2 linked regions of the Lepisosteus oculatus genome follow. The protein of the gene in region 2 interacts with the protein of the main gene of each other region in a biochemical or structural test. Links are inferred from orthologs where the notes say so. Each region holds a gene or a part of one and is shown on either strand. Other genes may lie near its edges.

Evidence for each region.
Region 1: the proteins of cysltr2b (region 2) and dlg3 interact in a test that uses a peptide from one of them, tested with the Homo sapiens proteins (2 studies listed by IntAct, with this or other methods). The link is inferred for Lepisosteus oculatus from reciprocal best matches to the Homo sapiens genes CYSLTR2 and DLG3.

The regions. Positions count from the first base shown.
Region 1 is NC_090703.1:49,924,009-49,934,242, reverse strand, and holds the start of dlg3 (disks large homolog 3), read right to left. Parts: upstream 4,252-10,234; 5' UTR 3,726-4,251; coding exon 3,710-3,725; intron 1,649-3,709; coding exon 1,517-1,648; intron 1-1,516. Other genes in the region: glycerophosphoinositol inositolphosphodiesterase GDPD2, read right to left, coding at 7,721-7,785, 8,435-8,457, 9,000-9,082, 9,719-9,866. UniProt on the Homo sapiens protein: Required for learning most likely through its role in synaptic plasticity following NMDA receptor signaling.
Region 2 is NC_090700.1:17,324,482-17,335,782, reverse strand, and holds the start of cysltr2b (cysteinyl leukotriene receptor 2), read right to left. Parts: upstream 4,410-11,301; 5' UTR 4,259-4,409; intron 1-4,258. UniProt on the Homo sapiens protein: Receptor for cysteinyl leukotrienes. The response is mediated via a G-protein that activates a phosphatidylinositol-calcium second messenger system.

The DNA of each region.
Region 1 (10,234 bases), on a different chromosome or scaffold from region 2:
GCAAGGAAATCTGCAGTGCTCTCCCAAAGGCTTATTACTGGGATGGGGAGAACCTGAACTCTCTCTTTCCCTTTTTAAAATAATGAGGGAAAGTTTAAGCAAAGCATTCATTAGAGTTTCTTTGCACTTGCACAAAAAAAAAAAACACTTTTTCGCTGATAGGGAGGTTCCTGCTGTTCCCGAAGTGAGGAATGAAATTCTCTCACTGCAGAAGACAGGGCCTGGGGACAGTGGGGCGGTGCACTACTGTACTGTGTCAGAGAGAGAGGGTTGGGGTCGTTACGTGACAGGCAGAAGGATCATACAGTTTGCAAAACACACTTTCTACATGTATCAATATTACAGAAAAACATAAAAAGATAGGTTTGTGAATGATCAGTGTTGTGAGCTAATGCCCAGTAAGTCAATATCAAATATATGTAAAGTATTGGTATGGCAGGTAACCGCATAGTACCATATATTTTTACATTTGACGAGCCTTGTGAATATTTTATTGGATAAAACCAATGATTAGCATGTATTTATTTTTTCAATTATTCTTGTTCTTGTTAAAGAGCAGAAACATAAAACTTAATTATCAAGATTGTACTTGAGTGTCATTAGTGGAGTCCCATAGGGATTCACAGCTACATATTTTATGTTCTTACGTATCAAATAATATATCAATAGACCAGCTATCTATCTAAATTCTGATACAGGTAGTAAACTTGTCAAGTCACAGTTGGTATAAAAACAGTACAGGATCGGCAAAGGAAAATCGAAGAGACAGACAAATTGTGTTTGAGCAAACGCTGGCATGGATATTTCATGTAGAGAAGTACAGAATATTACACACAGGGAGAAAAAAACACTGAGCTAGAAGATGCTGTCTATGAAAAAGGCTTAAAGTCTTTAAGCTGTTATCATTTGTCTTAAAGACAAACGTCTTAGAGGGGAAGCAATAGAAGTTTAACAGAGATTAGGATGTATATTAACAGTGCAGAATTCACATCAAGGGACGTTGTGTTAAATTTGTATTGCGCACCACTAAGAGCTCAATTAGGATACTGTGTACAGTTTTGGACACCACGTAACAAAAAAGTTTTTTTCTGTTCTGGAGTCAGACCAGAGAAAAGCCACCAGATACATCAATGAATGCCCTACCCTGACAGGCTAGAATAGCGCAATATTTTCTGTCTTGAATAGAGAAGAACATGAGGGGACCTGTTTCAAGTACTCCGATTCTTGAAGCTCATTGACAAATTTCTTCACGTGGAGACCGCAGGGCAGTGCATTTAAAACCCGAGGACAGCGGGCGCCTCACTCCACAGAGGGCTGTGGGAGCACGCGCAGTTCTGTTGCGAAAGTTGACACCCCGGCCTCTTTCAAGAAGCCGGTGGATGAGATGGTCGGATCAGCCACAAGGTGGATGGGTGATACAGCACATGCATGTGCATGCTGGAATGTTGTGGCTCTGTACGACTGATGCTCATCTACCTATTCACCAGTGAAGGAGACGGACAAGACACAGGCTTACCCAGAAGGGCCTGGAACAGCTGGCTGCCGAAGATGGCGGTGACTTTGCCCACGCTGGCTCTCAGAGGCTGCTCCTCCGGGCCAGTGAGGCTGGCCTGGTACTGCCTGAGCAGGCTCACAGCCCTCTGAGTGTCTGCGGGACAGGGGACAAAGGAGTCACACAAGGCAAAAGGAAGCATCGCAGGCCAGTGTCATTCAGCCATTCGTCACCCTGAGCCACGGACACGGCTAGCAGAGGAGCAAAGAGGCTACCAAAAACAGGTACAGGGCTGCATTCATCTGAAGGTCACACAGAAAAAAAAGTGCTCTGTACCTCTCTGTCACTAGTTAAAATAGGACATGTCTAGCAACATTCTAACTATTATTAAACACCTGTGTCAGTTTCTTATTACAAGTCCAAACCAGGTCTCAGCATGCTTATTTCTGTAGGAAGCGAACCTTGTGAGTAAATCTGCTGTCTCAGGGTGTAAAATGCGACAACGTGACACACTGTGCAAAGCACTGGGTGCATCATTTATCAGCTTCCCACCAGAGGGCAACTTGGAAACGGAGGTTGGCAGCGCTGCATGAACTCAGGGGCGAGCTCACCTCTGTCGCCGGAGCCGAGCAGCACACCAAGTCGAAGACGAACGCTGAAATAACTGCACAGCCCCGGAGGTTGCAATGCAGCAGCCGCAAGTTCACTCTTTAATACTTAATTTCCAAACGAACCAGGTCTGGGAACGTCCTTTTAACAATCAGAACATGTCTGATACTCTGGCAGTTTTAGGGTCTTTAGTCCAGTTGTGTATGACTGCTTACACAGGTTCCCTTGTGTTGCTTTGCTGTTAAGGGATGTTACACAAAGCAGCCCAACACACTGAAATCAATATCACAGTTAAGGGAGGGAGTCCACACTTCCCTGCCTGGGACTGACTCTTCAGCCTGGGCCAGAATCAGTTAAATATCTCTAGGAAAAAGTGTTTTAAAGCCAAAATAGCAGCGTATTATTTAGATAACATGTATAATTCACACAGTAGTATTCTGTATACAGTTGCCAATTCTGTGGCAAGCATTCCAGTGGAAAATTCAGCCTGTGGATTTTCTCAGGGAGTGACTTTTAATATTTAAAAAACCTAGACTTGTGGTGTATCACAAGCCATAGCTCCTGCAGAGCAGCACTAATTCCTTAATAGACCTGTGAGCCAAATTCCTCCTGCTTCCGAAGCTCACGACAACACTTACCCATGTCTTGTTGACCTATGACCCCTGGGGACAGATGTACCTCATTTTCCCGGGCAGCTCCATTCACACAAGAGGACAAAATTCCACACCAAACATCCCACGTGAGCACAAAGCTACCCCTTGATCTGTGCACGGAGACTCAGATCTTAAGTGCCTTCATTCCAAACCATTTTTTGTGAAACTGCAGCTAAAGTAGTACTGTTACATTGCCCAGTAGTGATATAGTTGCAGTTACTGTTATCAGCAGTATTAAATTAATGTAGGGACTGCAGCACTAATCTGTAGATTTTTTTCCCGACAGGCAGCTGCAGGAGTAGCAGCTGTAGCTGCAGGTGAAAGCGCCAGTACACTGTTTTAATACTCATCATATGCGGATGTATAAGCAGAGCAAGGGAGGTAAATATTAGGGGATGCATGCAAAAGCTCTGCCCTCTGGTTTGCCACTTCATAGGCAAGAACATCTGGCATTTTGTAACCATAACAGCCCCGCAGTGCGTGCTCGCGTCCGGGATGCTCGCAGGGGCGTGACGGTGCGCTCCAGCCCCGTGCTGCAGGTGTCGGCCGCCCGCCTCAGGTAGCGGCTCACCTGGGGGGGCAGCGGCCGCCCAGCCTCCGCGTCCGTCCCTGCCCACACCCCCCCTCCCGGCCTCTCGCAAAACCGCGCTGCACTGGCACCGTGCGGATTATTGAAACTTTCCAAGGAAAAATACTTCCTGTTTCCCTTGAGAATTGCGAAAGGAGCGTCTGGCTTCAAACCGCTCCAGCATACTCGGAATGTGTTGAGTAATACTGAGCGCAAGTGCCATCTGCTGTTAGCGTTTTCATTCCCATCAGGTTTACTTCAGGAACAGGTGTCTGGCCCTTTTAACATCTCGCCGGCATTTGTGAAGTTTTATTAGAAGTTCGAACAAAATCATTAAGCAAAACAACAACAACGACAACATAAAACAGCCGTATCATACACACTTACCGTACTTGTGTACCATGACGTGAAAGCGATGTAACGATGAAGGGAACCGTTTCACCGAGTGAAGTTGTCTCTTCGGCACCCCTAAACCTTGCTAAAGACATATAACCTCACTTGGCAAAGGGGCGGACAGGAGAGCTTACTACTCGTTATGTTCACGGGCTTTCCCAAACTTTTTTAATAACTTCCTTTCGCAACTTCGGAAGAGCCGGCGACCCAAAACTAAAAAAAAAGAGCAGTCGACGCGAAAGGTTTCCCTTCGAAGTTGCCTCCTTGCCCGACCCTCCTAGGACGGACCGAGACACGGTGGCCGCCGCCGCCGCGCTGGAGCTATTTTTTCCCGGCTGTACCGGGGACGAGAGATCAGCCCCGTGTCAGAGCGAAAGTGTGCGGCCGCCGAGCCCCCGGCCTGCGAGGCGTCCTTAGTGTGGAACCCGGAGTGGGAACGGCTCTGGGACGCAGGGGAGAGGGGAGGGTGGGTCCAGCAGATCGCCTCCTTAGCTCCCCGCACCGCCGGACAGCGACCGCCAGGGGGCCGCCTTCGCGGTGCGTAAAGTTTTGGAAACGCACTCGACCAGACACTCACCGCCACGCTTCATTGACACCTGTTGCGGTCATAATGAGAAAGGCAGAAAGCAAAAAAAAAAAATGCAAAGTGTCTCGCATTTACCCTCTGCGGGATATGCTAGTTGAAGAGCTACGAACGTAAAATTAGACGTTTCTTTTTTGATCTGGGAACAAAAAGAATTTCTATTTTCAAGGGAGGAGTAGCGGTAGGTTTGTAGACCTGTTATGTTTACGAGGAGAGCGCAGCATTTACTATACCTTGATGTTCAATCCGGAGAGTAAAACTGTTCAAAAAAGCAGATGCAAACAGAACTCGTTCGCTTAAAATAGTTGTAGAAATGTACTGTTCTGATTATATCTTTGTGTGAGAGTAAAAGAGGACTCGACGATTCACTCACACCGAGCTTTTTCCTTCAGCTTTAATCTGCATTTTCCGATATAGTTCACACCGTTCAGGTTGTACCCGCAAAGAAAGATTGTCTCAGAAATACAATCAGTTTTGTACACAGAACGTATTGTGCCGTTGTAGCAAAGTTATAAATTGAAAGTCTTTCTAAAACGAGTTTCAGATGCACAGAAACGGAATATGCGGTGGCTGCTATCTAGTGGCGACGAGCCGCAGTACATCAATGCTGTCTTTTTTTAAAAACTAGAGGAAGCGGAACAAGCGCTTACAGCCTGTTTATCAAATCCGTTGGTCCCTGTGGAGCACCTATATCGTGCAAACCGCTCGGTGTGACAGTGACACGTGGAAAAAAATGCAGACGAGCCACCTAGAAACGCGCTTCCACGAAACAATGTCAGAACACCCCCACAGAGCACCCTGGTGTCCCACGCGTATGTGCTGCCGACGTCATTGCTCCCCAGTGCTGCTCTCGCAACACCGCGGTTCGAGAAGGCCAGCCCCGGGGGCCTGACACGAGTGGGAAATAAACCCAGCTATGTTCACGACAGAAAACAGGAGACGTTTCTCGGCACAGAGGATTGTGGGAATTGGAACCAAGTCCCTAGTCATGGCTGTGAAGTTGTGAGAAGCTACTGTACGCCTGTGGATCCTTTAAGAAGGAGAAAATCGTAGACTTAGAACAACAAGACACTAGAATCCAAATGAGCAGAAGTCTCAGAAGATGAGGAGGCATCTCCTGCTCTGGGTGCTGGGGAGTGGGCAGATCTTATAAGACAAAAGAACACCGTAAACATTTTATACACTCAATTTCTAACGTTTATTTGAGAGAAAAAAAACATTTCAAAATCACTTCCTTTTCACAGACCCAGGGAACACTTTGCACACAGAGAATGCCTAGAACAAACAGTTAATGTCTGAAATAGTTTCCAAGCATTTAATGGGAACCCAGCTCATTTCAAGGGACCCTTCAAGGATGCATGAGACGCTGACAGGCTTTGCAGTGGGGCTGCGGTCAGCCTCCGGTGAGCCGAAATGTTTGTTTACCGCCTCAAGGTCGTTGTGTGATTCCTCTCCCCCTTTCTGCAGCTTCGGTGAAACAGTGCATTGCCACGAAGGAGAGAAAAATCACAATACAGAAGACGGATATTGAACCGTTTACGGAAAACCAGGACTATTCAGTCACCCATCTGCAATCGGAAATTCCCGAGCCAGCTCTGGGTACACATTGCCACATCTCTGGCGGGGGCAGAGGGAGGCTCTGCTCAGAACACATGCACAGCATGCGATGGGCAAGACCAGGGCCCGCCTGCTCTCGCTGGGCAGGAGTTAGCCCATCTTCCAGGTGTCGGATTTTAAGGTTGCAGGAAACCTGCTGCATTCCGAGGGGCACACCTGGACCAGGCTGACCAGCACTGCTGCCAGGGAAGACACTCTGGCTGTGGAGGACTGAACACTGAGGGCTTTTCATGCAGCCACAGGGGGTCCTAGTTGGACAGGTAATCTGAGGGGGAGACAGCACACAAAGAGGCACTTCGGAGCATGAAGACGCTAGCATCTGACTTGTGCACGGGGACAGTGAGTGGCTCGCAGTGAACGCAGGGACAGCAGGAAGGAGGAAAAAGCCCCAGAACAGCCCAGTGTTTCACAGTATATAAGCAAAACATAATACAGACTTCACAATAATATCTGTACACAGGTAGAGTGCTGGTAGTTAAGGAAGGCACTAAATATGTAAAAAAAATAGTGTCTTTTAAAAAATATACTGTAAAATGTCATTGATATATCAAATGTTCCTCCAAAAAATAATTATATACCCTCAAAGCTCAAATACATACTGTCTACCGAGAAACATCAAAAGAGCGACCACACTGAAATTAACATGAACAAACCTCTGAATACTAAACTAACACAGTTACAAACATGGAACAAATCGCTTTAGGCAAATAGGCAACCAGTAAACATTTGTCCATTTTTGTGGATACAGTTTTTGGTTGCATCAGGGGCCAAAATGCCTTATGTCACACCCACAGAAAGTGTCATTAAGAAGGTCGTATGTTAAATGGGGCTCATGACAAGCTTTGAAGACTTCACAACACTTGACACGTATTGTGTCTCCCTCATTTACTATTGTGTGCATCACGCCACGCTGTCCCTGAGAAGATCACTGTGGAAAGTGCAATTCTGTTTAAGTGGTGCTTCAGCAGTAAACAAGTCGTGGACTAATTTCCTAGCAATGGATGCATTTTAAATCCGTTCTCTGAAAAACTGAATTTGCTACATCATTAATTAAAAATGAAATTACTGATACATTAATTGGAAAAATATATTTTGTAGAAAACCACTTTAAGAAGTCCATTTCTGTACAAACGTCATAAAACAATTTATCTGCTGAAATACACTCGACTGACTGACTACTTCAGTATCCTTAAATGTCTGACCATTATCCTGACAGGAGGACTTAAGTGAAATAAAGAATTTGACAAATGTCCACTTGAAATGTCTGTGCTAGACACAGTTCTTCTGACAAGGTAAATGTGGTTCATATACAGCTCTCTGTATATATGTATATTTCTGAGGAAATTTCACATTGATTCCTGTTCAGATGCAAATGGAATCTGTTTCCAGAATAAACCTGAAATGTTAGTCCTTTCTCATGTGTTTCTGTTTGAAATAATGACAGTGCAAAGCCTGAGCAGGCTTTCTAATCACCCAAAATGCACATCCCCCACATCATTCTGCTCCATGGTTTCAGTGCTTGAAGGACAGACAATCAACCCACACCAGTGCATTTGCAATGAAACCTTCTATCCATTAGAGAAGAGAGTCACAGTTACCCCAGACCCGTGTACCCCAAAAAACAGACTTCAGTAGAGAGGCAGCCCCCAGCAGCCCGGACACTTTGGAAGGCACCATAGAAAATGTCACCTTCCCCAAATGAGAGAGCTGTGCCTTCCTTCCCCAGAAAGTGCATGATGCTTAAGAGAGAATCCTAGATAGTCCCAGAGGTAGAACCCAGAACCAGACTGTCGTCGGCCCGGCTTTCACAAGAAGGTGTCCAGTTCTTGCTCATTCCATACTGAGTACCCGTTTCTGTGCTCCTCGCTCTCTGTGGAGAAACGGATACAGAGCATTTCAGTGTCTCCTCCTTGCTGCAACTCAGTGCACTCCACTTGCATGCAGGCTAAAGCTCTGACTTGTGACACATTGTTCCATTGCATTGCCACCAGGGTTTCTTTTCCCAGCATTATTCCTTACAAACAAGCAAAGTCTTCAAGTGGCTTCAACAGACACTGCAGGGGATTCTCTTGTTTACCCTTCCCATGTCCAGATCCATGCAAATATCTCATTTACTGCAGTAGTGTTCCAGCAGGACCTTTGTCCTCTTAAAAAACTCCAACATAAAAGGATTAAACTGACATGATTTTTTCAGTAAGTAAGATAAACCTTTTTTTGTTTTGTTGTTCGTGTAAAAATCTTAAACAGAATAATCAGGTATGTCTGCCCAAACACAGTTTACAGGAAACCTGTGAACAAGCATACAGTTTATGTTGAACCTGGTGTTATTGTTACCAGTGAAGAGAAAGCACTGAGCTTACAGTCTCCTCATTGTCAGATATGCTCAGAGTCACAGATGACACAAGAGAAATCCCCTCCTTCAAGCTCTTGACCCAGGCAGTGCAGCACAGAGTTTCTGTGTCTCTGGTCTGCTGTCCTACACTCCTTCTGTATGTGAAATGGTAATGAAGCGTACTCACCAGTCCCACGAGTGAAACGCCGCCTGGTTTAAAAACAGAGACAGAAAACAGGATCGGTCAGGTTGCACTTGTAAACCAATACTGGACCCACAGACAGCAAAAGGTCACAAAGCGTTTAATAATAATAGCAGACCTCTCTCAGCAGACCTCTCTCAGTGAGGCACCACTACAGTAACATTGGGATGCATGTCAATTTTGCAATGCCTTATGATCATTGATAACACCTACATAAACATTTTGTAAAATGTTTATAGTAAACATTAATACAATGTCTCCCCTATCATAATGCAGTATGCAATATCGCAAGCCACAGGCCTTCAGGAATTCAGTGGTGTTGCTGATCACTGGAAACTGGAGTGTCCTGACCGGCTAATCCCAACCCAGTCCAGCCTGGGAGAGCTAGTAACCCTAGCTCAGATTCCCAGCGCCAGGAACACAGAGCTCAGCCTGGGCTCAGTGAGTGTCTCATTAGAGATCGATGGTTATCTTAATTGACGGGTGTCAGCCCATCAGACCGAAGCACAGGGCCGCAGGTTTTAAAAAGCCAAGCCTCTCTGGGACTCACCTCTGTAGCAGGAACAGGCCCAGGATGACAAGCAGGAAGACAGAGTCCACGGTGATCCAGAGCATAGTGTAGGTATCGGGAGCCTGAAAACACGAGCACACAGAGGCTGGCCATCAGTCTACTGTGGAAACCACAGCTACAAATTCTTTGCCAGTAAACCGAGTTTCCTCCAGCTTTTGTATTTGACCCAAAGGGTTGTGAGAGTCTGTGCCTGTGGCTGGAAGGTTGCCGGTTCGAATCCTGTGACCGGCAGGGGAATCCTATCCATTGGGTAAAACCCTTCACCCCAACTGCTCCAGGGGCGCCGTATAAATGGCTGACCCTGCGCTCTGACCCCCAGCTTCTCTCCCTGTCTGTGTGTCTCATGGAGAGCAAGCTGGGGGTCATTTGAAAAGACAAATTCTTAATGCAAGAAATGCCAATAAAGTGATCTTAAAAACATGGAAACCTCAAAACCGTGGTCAAGCTCACGGAAATGCTAACAAAAGAAAATTCCTTCAAACCAGCCCAGATCATTTTTAAAAAAGTACATCTGTCCTATCATGCATTCAGATTTAAAGTGGAACTGGGGTTTTAATGCTTGATGTCATCTCATGCACCAGGGTGGGGTATGCACTGAGTATCTCCTCTCTGTTGAAAGAAGAAGTCCACGATGCTGCACGAGCACTGTTCACGGACGTTAGTGAGCGGCGTGGAAGGGGGCGTGTGGGAGTACTCACGAGGATCCAGGCGGGCTGCGTCATGTTCTTGAAGTGGCGGCAGGTGTTAGTGGTGACGGAGGTCACCCCCGAGCACCAGAGCAGAGAGAAGAGCCAGGACTCGTTCACCACGTACAGGTTGACCGACACGTTTCCCCGCCTCAGATCCCTGCCGGCAACCAACACAGACGCCAGTCACGCGCCGGCTCGCTCTGGGGAAACCCTGGAGCCATGGCGGCTCTCCGCAAGTGTGACCGTTGCGGTTCCGCGCGGCCTCGTGCCCTTGCCGCTCCACCCCACCGGTTCGTCCCGCCACGCCTGGGGCACGAACCCGGGTCTCCGGCGTAACACAGCAGGGAGCCAGCCGAGTGAGCTTAAGGAGACCCCCCCCAGCCCAGGCGGCTGAGGCCCCTGCTACGCGGAGGGAGGGTGATAACGTCACCGTGTCCAGACCAGCTCCGCCACACAAGCACAAAGCGGCAGCAAAGTCAACACGGGAACGAACAATGCAGATCTGCTGCGGACAAACACGACAAA
Region 2 (11,301 bases):
GATAGGGGGGTGCAGTAATGATACAATGCCAAATAATTGGTCATCATTTGTCCAATCATTGGATCATTTGTCCAGCAGCAGCGAAAGTCTAAGAAGTATTTAAAAGATCAAGAATCACAATAATGTGGAGACTTGAATAAAACATGTTTTCATCAATAGAGATAAAATAAAGGCCTTTAAATGAGACCTGCTTGGACTGTAAAATTGCCCTTAGAGTTACTGTACTTGATCCACAACAACCACAGCTCTATTTTAACAACTCAGTTATCCACAGACATAATGTAGAGATTGAATCTGATTTTTTGTAGGAGTCATCACCCCTTCTATGGCTGTTTGCACAGGACTTAAGAGTTTGAGCACAGGGGGACATACAGTATTGCTTTTCAAAGACAGGAAAAGTTCATGTTGCTTTTGAGGAATGTATCTTCAGGGGAAAAAATCATAGAAACTTTAGAAATATTTCTAGAAGGAAGGTATAATATATTAACATTCATAAGCAGATATGAGAATATTCTAAGTATAGTAGAGTTGCAAAAACTTTTTATGCTGACAAAAAATAACATCTATTCACATATAACCTTGCACTCGAATTGATTTAGTAGCCACTTTCACAATCTTTCAAACTGAGAATGGAAAAAAATAAATGATTTATCCAACCAAACAATCATTCATTTTAAAAATAAGCAAAACAATACACTGATGTATCCATCTGGAAATGTCGCATTTAAACATTATATTACAACAGCATTTTCAATTTAATGCAAAAAAAAAAACAAAACATCTATTGAGTTTTGAATATCTGACATGAACTGAAAAATGAGAACTCCATATAGAGTTGAATGTTGGCCAGGTTTGTGGAATTGTGCCAGGTTCTCAGGCGGAGGTTGTTGAGAGAAGGTATTTTGATTAAGTAGAGGGGGTGAATATGCTTTAAGGTCAACAAAACCTCAGACTAACAGGTTGCTCTTCCCTGGATGGATTCCACAGCATCAATATCGTTTTTGTAACATAGTCCATGACTAAAATAGTTCACAGTATTCTAAATGAGGACTTTTAACATAACATCCCTTGATTTAACTTCTACTATTTTGACAACCCATCCTTTTTATTGTCTGGTCTTTTAAATTACTTCCCCTCATCATTTCCTTAAATCTATCTACCTTATGTTAATTGTGCTTCACCATACTGTAAACACCTGCATCTTGTTACACGAGTAGCCTGTTCACATGTAGCATTTCCCACTTTGTATTTATAGCTAATGGCTTTGCTGCCTGCCTGTTATGCTCCCAATCTTGAATTGTATCTATTTTTATTTCATTTGCTGCGGTACAGTTTTTACTAATCATCCTATTTTGGTATCATCTGAAAACCTAACCAACTAGTTTACAAACTATACCAAAGTCTTGATCAATGTTTTGAACTAGGAACAGCAGTGGTCTTATGATAATCCCTATATTACTCCATTATTTATATCATCCCAGTTTTAGCATTCACCTTTTATCTGTACTCTTTGTTTTCTATTAATCAATCAATTTTCAACCCCCTCACATTTCTCAGAATGCCTCCCATCTGTAATTTGAAAATGTTTTTTTGAGGAAAGTTATCAAAAACCTTCTGAAAATCAGAAATAAAATAAACAAACTATATCGCATGTTTAGTGTATTTTCATTCCTACTGTTGTTTGTTCAAAGAAGTGCAACTAGTTATTAAAGCACAACTTACCTTTTCTAAATTAATGTTGTCCGTCCTCTAAGATCTTATTTGCATATATCTGATCTTCTAGTTCTAATTTGTGTTTCCAAACCTTACATGTAACAGAATTCAGAATTATTGGTGAAATTGGTTAAGTTTTGTCACCTTTTTATGGATGGGAACTTGCTTATGCATGACATCTCTTGTTTCCTTAAATTCAATTAGCAGGATACACTGGAGATTTATTAATCTAGAGTTCTCCTATTACCCTAAACACCTTTCTCTTCTCAGCTTATACTAATTAATACAGATGTTTGTTCTTCTGCTGCCAGAGGCATGTTATTAACTTCCTTAATGAATACCTATGTAAAATACTCATTATAGCCACTTTCCTCTCATTGTTTAGAAGTTTAGAAGTTATTGTCCTATATACATTTTACATCTGCTGCTCTACTTTTGATGTTGTAGTACTGACAGATCTTTTTATCATTTCTTTTAGACTGAATTGCTATATTCATTTTAGTCACTTTATTGTCATCTGCTAGAATTGGCCAGAATAAACATTATACATTGCCCAATCACAATGCATACAATCCACTTTTGTTACAATCAGTACTCTTTCATTTTAAGAGATTTATGTAATCCAGAACATGAACTGAATCATAGACTAGAGCTATCTAGACGGACCCAGTGTGTAAAGAATTAGTAATAATTAGTAATTCCTTGCATTTGTATAACATCATAGCAAACATGGGCATTCGGATACACTAAACCACAAGGCATTTACAAGTAAAGAACATAATAATGATTAACAGTGATTATAGGAGAACAAGCCTCAAGGTTTTTTTTTGTGAATCCTGTCACCCCAAATGTAGAGGACCACTTTAAGTGAACAAAATATTGCTGTTTTTTTTTATTTTATATAATAAATAAACAAATCACAGTTTTGTTTGTCAGCAATGGGACGTTGCTTCAGGACTGCAATAACTTCAGATTTTCCAAGTTGATTTGTTTATACCTTCCGGCAGTTGATGCCAATATTTAATCGTTGTGTCTTTAACATTCCAATACTAAATTTCTGTGATTGTTTATAATGTGCTCCTTATTGTATACTGAAATGTCCTGGACAAAATAACATGATTGATAACAAAATAATATCTACTGATTGTATCAATCGTCTTTTTATCAACCCCCTTCGAGTAATGAAAACTAATCATGTAACTGTCAGTTTTGGGAAATTGCTAGAAATATCTAGTTCTGAGACCTGAGAGTGATTTCCCTTCATATTGTGTAAGAAGGCTTTGTTGATTTTCTATACTTACCTGAAGTGACAAAAACAAGTAATCATATAACATAAAAGTCACGTTAACCACATTTTAAGGCTGAAAGAGGACAGCACAGCACTGTCACAAAGTATAAGGGCAGAGTTTTTCTTAAGAAAAATCAATCTCTTTCACTGAGAAGTTGTGGTAGTAATGGCAGAGAAAGACAGAAATCTGACATACACTAAATAATAAAGACATAAGTAACTGTTACAAAAAAACAAGACGTGAAGATTAGCAAACATTTGCTTTTGAATTCTTTCTGTGGTATATTTACACACCACTTGCTGTGAAAACAGATTTTGACACAGTTCTTCAATCTGAGGATTTGATTACAGTAATATAGTTTGTCTAACCAATGCAAAGTTATTGCTCTTATTTTTTATTATTATTAAGCCTGGAACATTTATATGGTACATTTGGCATGGTTGTGCTCTGAAACATACAATAAGTTAACTTGCTTTCACTCTGCTTTCCTTAATTCTTACTACACTTTAGGTGTGCTTTGTTGGTTATAGCACAGTACTTATGCAGGATCAGCTGTGGCAAATCATAATATTATCATTGGCTTCGTGTTACAACATATTGGAAGGTAACAATCTGCACATTTGGCATGTTAGTACAAAAGATGAAATCTCAAGGAATATCATGGAGCATTTGCTGACAGTGTTTAAGAACCTGTGCCACACTAAATAACCACAAGCACTCTTTGAGAAGAATGCACCAACAAAGTTGATCATATATCCCAAACACATGGCAAATGCTGTTAAAAACCAGCAGCCACTGTTTCATACTTTTTATTACTGACAGTTATAAGACAAATCTTTGATTCACTTTTACTGTAAGTTATAAACAGATGTTCATTTATGGCAGCTGATAATTAAAAAAAAAATCTTGCTTGCATAATTTGATCTACTCTTGCTTAAAAATAGTATTTACCCTCAGTGATATTACCTTTCCTTCAGGTTTTATGGTAAACAGTTGCATAAGTTGACATTTTAATACAGGGGCAGTTAATTTCAGTCCTTCGAGTCTGGAGTCCTAGTTTTCATTCCAACATTGAATTTACGACCTTAATTGAACACATTATTTGTTAAGAATTTAAATTAATTGTTTTTTATTAGCTGTTCAGTTGTTAAACGTAAATATCTCTAAACCCAGGAGGACTCTAGACAGAGAACTGGAATTAACACCCTCTGCTTTAAGTGATCTTATTATTTAAAAAATTAAATGCATTAACATACCTTTGTTGTTTCTGTTATTTCTTCCAAAACGTGTACTTTTGTTTCTTGCGTCAAGATGAGCTGGTATTTCCAGAAGCTTTTCTCCTTTGTTTTTGAAAGAAACAAGTTCTTAATTTTTCTTAGTCTGCAGCTTAGTGGGGAGTGACACAGTTTTAAATATATCAAGCTTTCTAACTCAGAGGCATGTTAAGGGGGAGGATCTCTTACTGTATATGACATGCAAAGCCCTGCCTCTTATGTTTGCCATTTGAGAACACATTTGTTTGAAAGGCCAGACAAGTACTTTGCTTATGTGATTTATCTAGATTTATAATACTGTGCATTATGTAGCTACACTGGAAAGAGTGACATGGTCCTGCACAGTAGAAAAGCTTAATGTGTTTTACAGCTTTCAGTTCTCTAAAAATATAATCAGGAACCAGTAATCTGGCAAACAATGAGTGATAAAGAGGAAAGGCAAACAAGTTAAAATATTAATAGGAGGTACCATACAAAGTACCAAAAAGAAGACAATTGAAAGAAAATGATCTAATCATATGACAATGCACAGTAAATCATTAAAATGACTTTTTTGGGATCTTCAGAGGGAAGGTAGCACAAGGGAATGTGCTGCCTCCAAGCATTCAGATCACGGATTTGATTACCCACTGCAGTGCCTTCTGTATGGAGTCTGCATGTTCTCAGTGTGTTCTTAATTCTAAATGGGTCTAAATTGTCCCTGTATGTGTGCACTCTGTGATGCAATGGCTTGCCCCCAAGGGGGCAGTCACGCTAGCAGCCTGTACTCTGAGTTTCCTTGACCCTTTCCAAAACAACAAGCAGCTTATTGGAAGAACAGATGGCGGATTTTCAGCAGAAAACAAACATTCACAGCCCAATATCCCTGACAATGGTAGGTGATTCAGGGCTGCAATAGGTATAATTTTTCAGAATGATATATTGGCACTAGAAGTTGATATAATTTTAATATTACCATACTGATAACATTCAAAACTACAAGCAAAGCTAGACTGTTATGCTATAAGGGGAGGGTGTGCCAGCTGACTGTATTTGTCCTAATCCATTATCCTTCCATCCTGTATCCATGATGTTTCATCCAATTTAGGGTTGCAGGGGCACTGGAGCCTATCCCGGCAAGTGAGGGGCACAAGAGGGGATACACCCTCAACGCAATGCCAGTCACAGGACACACACAGACACAAGCACACATACACTCACACCAGGCCCATTTATTCCAGACACCAATGAAGCTACACAGTATAGGCAGACTCCAGCAGAAAACTGGGCGAAAACATCTGTGGAATTTAACACAAATTCCACCCAGAGAATATACAAACTCCACACAGATAGCACCCCAGGCCCAGAACTGAACCCAACACTTCAAGGCAGTAATACTAACCACTGTACAACAGATAATTATATTCAAATTATAATTTTTTCTCAATTTATACAGGATAATCTGAATAATTTGACAGTCACAGGATAATATGTTTTTAACAAGCGACATGTATTTGACTTAACTTTTATTTAGGTTTAAAATGCTGAGAAATAATTCATTTATTGCAAACTGACAACAGGGGTATTTTCCCGTGGGTCTCAGGAAATATCTTTTTATTCTAATTCAGTACTAAATATTAAAGGTCCAGCTACAAGGTTTTTTTTTCACCAGGGTTTATTACCATGCCTCACAGTTTAAATTGCTAACAGTGTTGTCAAAGGGAGTATTAATGAGAAGTTATTGGTCTTCTGACTTTTGGTAACAATTTTTGAAGTGGCTTTTGTATCCTTTATGAGAGGAGCATGATATAGAATAGTGTGTTACTTTTCAGTGCTGTGTCAGGTAAGCAAAGCCTACTTGTTCTGGTGGTACATGTGACAATCCTGTCGTTTGTGGGGAAGGTTTTCAAGTTGATACAGTACATTCATCTTGTTTCTACCATTTCATTAGAGAGCCATTGATTGCAAGTATTTGTAATTCTGTAATTGAATTTCTTCAATTACAGAAATGCTGCCTTTGTGTTGCTCCTGACCATCACTGGCAAATACTAAAAGCTTTAAACCAAAGGAGCCAAGTTATAGCCCCTTATACTGTACACTTGATTATATAATCAGAGATTATAACTCTCTGTTTAGGTTTAATGGGAAATCAATTGGTGAATCATAATGGTAGATTCAGGTACAACAACAGATAAAACACTGATTGTTCTGTAGCTACAAACAAGAATGTTTAACAATAAGCTGGATTTGGTTACATCATAAAACAAATTGAGGAAATGGAACATACTGTTCAAACACATTTTCCATCTTAGCAAATACATTAATGTCAATTACCATCAGAGGAATCGTAATTAGTTTTATGTGTTGAGCGATAAGCTATGCTGTCTGTGTAATTGGTTACATTGCACAATATTGCTCATTCATCTCTTTCTCCTTTGTTTTGCACAAATGTGTGCACCACAGTTTAAAATAATGTTTCCTTTGTTTTACCTTTGTTGATGACACATCTTTTGCAATTGGAGTGTCTAGCTCTGGTGTTTGAGGGCTTGTATGTGTGCTGTTTTATTAAATTCCAAATAATCACTTAAATCAACTCATTAACCTTAATTGGACCAATTTGGTCTCTCCAGGTGCTGGGGCTTTGAGGAGACATTTAGAAAACCAGCAGACACAGCAAGACCCCAAGACCAAAATGTGACTATCCTTTGTTAAATCAATACTGTAAACAACTTCAAGGTTTCAAATACAGTAAGACATGAGCAATATATTTTCATGGGAACTACTGTGTGACATAATCTAATCTGTAGTAGGTGTACTGTAGGTAGTACATGAGAGAAAACATCTTTGTCTAGTGCCCAGGAGCTCTGTCAGAGACTGCCAGCTGACCCTGCCCCTACTAGTCCCACTTGTGGCTAATAGCTGCTCATTGCAACACTCACTGTTTATACGAACACTTACTCACTCCTCTGTACCCTGATGTCTGCCAAAATTGGTTATTTTCCCAATTAAAGTGCTCAAACTTTTTAAAACTTTTTAAACTGCAAACAGTACGACAGCTGAACAGTGTGGTGAAACAGGAAATGCATATGTGCAAAAAGCTTGAGAAGTTGGAGTTTCAATTGTTATTTACCCAAAGGGGTGTACCTAATTGTTAATGATTTTTTTCGGCAAACTAAATTTTGCAAACTAGATGAAAATATGCATTGACTAACAAAAATGGGCCTGTTCCAGCACATCTCATAAAATGCAATTTATTTACAATAATGCATTCAGGTGATCTGAAGGCATTATCCAGAATGCATTTTAATGTCCTTCTCCAGAGAAACACACCAAGGTAGGGTACATACTGTACCAGTCCATCACAGGGCAGACATATATTCAGAATGCTCACACCAAACCAGAGCACCCAGAGGAAACACCCACACAAACTCTACACAGATAGTGTCCCAGGTCTGGATTTGAACCCAGAGCCCTATCACTACATGGCAAGAATGCCAACCACTGCACCACTGTGCTGCCCATGTCTGTTCATACAGAGTATTAAAGATTTTCTTTTGCCGGCTTCTAAAAGAAGAGCTCTGTCAGAGATTGCCTGACACACTCACAGGAGCCAGGTCTACAAGGGTTATAGGCTGTCATCTTCAACACCACCTTGATCAACTCAGATCCTGATATAAAGAATTCAGTTAATTTTTATGAATATAATGTAGCTGTAGTGGGCATTAGTGGGCTCAGTGATTTTGTACTGTGCTGATTGAATAATGATTAAACACTTCATTAGGGTTGAGTATCTACATATTCTAGTGTTAGCTGGGGATTTGTAAAAGCATCACATCTTGAGAATTTACATTTCACATGCTCAAAAATCCCTTAAAGTAAAACCCTCTAGCCTCTTAATGAGCATAACAGATTCAACAAAAAAGTACCTTTTCTTGTAAATTTGTATAGCGCTAGCTATGTAGTTTGAACTTTATCATTAAGCGTTTTAGAACTAATAAGCAAAAGACAAATTAACTAATGGGTTTTTGTATAGAGAACAGTAAATATTGGTCAGTGTTCTACAGTATTCCTAAATTGTAAGAAGTTCTGACAGAAACCCACCCTTACAGAGAGGAAAAGATCAGAGACAAGGTAATAATTCACAGGCAGATCAGCTTTATTTTTACTCGTCATCATATTTGGGAAGACCTAGCTGCAAAGATGTTATTTTACTAAACTAACATGAACTGAACAGGCTTGGGCCTTTGGTTCACACCAGTGCGTAACATCTGCTTGGCACTCCGTTTTTCCTCAACTTGTAAGAAATTTGTATCTTTTTTAATTTATTTGATTTTTTTTTCCTTTTTGGAACCTGGAAGATAGGTTCACAAATCCATGGATTCTGAAGAAGTACTTTAACAAGTTTGAAATTGTTAATAGGCTTTGGTGACCAGCCTCAGCAGCACTTCCTCCTTAAAACCTAGTTATGTCAGGTATTTTGTAGCCATGTCAGCGTATGTATTGTATTGGAAACCTGTAAGGAGAAACACAATTTTGCTACAAGACATGGAATTAGATGGTCTTGCTCTCGATTCTGGATTAAAGCAGATATATTAGTTTCACATTGTTGGCTACTGATGCAAGGGTGCAGTTAATCTAGAGAAAGAAACCAAATCACATTTTTGCTTATGCTGAGGACCTTAAAGCTGTCTCCACACACAATTGATGACATGTAAAACAAGAGTTAATAATATACAGAAACATATGGGAACACACACCCATGATAATAATTGTTAATGGTTTATAACTTGTTGACTGGTTTCTAGAGCAGCATGGTGGTACAGTGAGCAGCTCTTGAAATTTCTGTCAGTGCTGAGGCTCTGGGTTTAATCCCAGACCTGGGGTCCTCTCTATATGGAGTTGGTATGTTCCCAATTTGTTTATGTGGGTTCCCTCCAACTGTCCAAAACCTACTGGTAGGTTAATTGGCCTCTGGGAAAACTTAATTTATCTACTAACTTTGTTTACTATTTAATTGCAGAAACAATTAAAAAATAAATAGTTTGATTAAAAGTTCAATAGGTTTAATTCAGACAAGGTTTGGCTGGAAGGAGAACCAAAAAACTGGATTAATGCTGAGGAAATGACCTTCTGGCTACTGCTCTTCATTAGTAAAACACTTTACTCTTATTCCGGATGTGTTGTACAAGGTTATCATGCAGTGTTTGGGTCTCTGACTCCAGGAGGAGTGCAGTCCTGCAGGTTTCCATTCTAGCAAAATTTGTAATGCTAATAGAGCTAATTATTGTCTTAATTAGAGCAGTTTTATAGTTTTTCCAGCTCTTAGGTGATGCTGATGAAGAGACCTATAAAACCTGCTAGAATGTAGCCCTCTAGTAGGAGAGATAGAAAAAATAGAGTGCTAATCTCTTTCCATTTGTTTTATTGCAAATGATGCACAGTAGTGTTTTAGCCATAAAACACCTGTCACAGGAAGACTTACAGCACAATTAAATGTAAAGATTAGAAAGCCATAAACCTATTTCTGAAAGAGTGAAAAAGAGATAGTATGATGTAGACCTACACTATCAAAAACTGGATGTCAATATTCACCCAACAGAAGGCCTGGGTGATGGGAATGATGATATTTTCCTGTTTCAGAACGTTGCGTCATATTAATGTTTGTTCCCCCCACCCCCCTTAGCAAAATGCTGTTTAGTCTAATGAGGAACACATCTCAGAAGTTTATTAGCACACTGACATATCTTCCTTTTCTTAACAAAAGCCTTCCAACTAGTGTTCTGTGCATGTACTTTAGAAAAACAATTGTTGAGGGTACTTGTCACATTCCCTTTTTACATTTTATGTGTCGTGATTCATCTTGTTTCTAAATGAATAAGTCTCCGAAGTTTATCTGCTGTGTTGTCAATAATAGTAAATGTAGGGTGCTTACCGATGTACAGTATGTAACGGCCAGTAAACTTGAATACCTGTCGGCTTCCATTTCCTAGAAACACCAAGGGCGCCCCCTGGAGGATGCTGCTTATCTGTGTATGGTATCCACTACCGGTAGATGGCAATGAGCTATGTACTGCGTCCAGTCCATTGTGGCCAACGAATTTTGGACAGTTGTGCGTTGTTGTTGTTGTTGTTGTTGTTGTTTTTCACTATTTCTTGTTTAAGGAAAAATAGGATAATGCACGCTGAATAATAAAATATCTGCTCCGGAGTTGGCACTTTACCACTTTAAAACCCAATACTTTTTGTTTTTCGGTAATTCCGTTTTATGAGTTTTTCCCCCATATATATTTTCCAGGAATAATAACTTTGAAAAATAAATATATATATATTTAAAATTGTCAAAGTCTCCGCTGCACATTTTGGTTATGTTAATTAAAGAATACGTGATGAATTCTGCTTCAGAGAAGTCATTTAGATATCGCTCCACTAGTCATCTACAGCAAGGTCAGTGACCATTCGTAGTGTGGTTCAGCTCTGACGAAGTTAGAATTCTAATGCTTTTTTGGTGGTTTTGTTACCAATAGTTATGTATACGGAACATCGATTCTTTGAGGTCAGTTTACACAGAGACAGAGTGAGCTCAATAATAAAGCAAGTAAGGATTCAAGCGGAAGTGTTAATGGGAGTATTTGAACGCGAAAAATATTCATTTTGTTGTGGGTTTTGGACAATAATATACAATGTGTTATTGAAACTGCTACGGTGTCCTTAAAGCCCTAAAATCTGTCATGACGATGGGCTGAATTGTCTTCTTAAACATAAACCGTTTCTTATGCTCCTATGTTACAGAACTGTACGAAATTTGTGAATTATGATGTTTACGCTGTGGCACATTGCTATGCTAACACCCACTGAAAGTCTGTATTCTTGAAATTAACACCATTATTACGTTCAATTCAATTGAAGATTCTCCCCAGGGGAACTATTTAAGCAGCAGGCAGTACATGGATTAAAAATGAAAATGAAATAAACAGGCATTAATCAAATTGGATTATTTGTTGGAATTAGATATTTGATGGTTAGCTAACTCTCACAATGCAACTTTT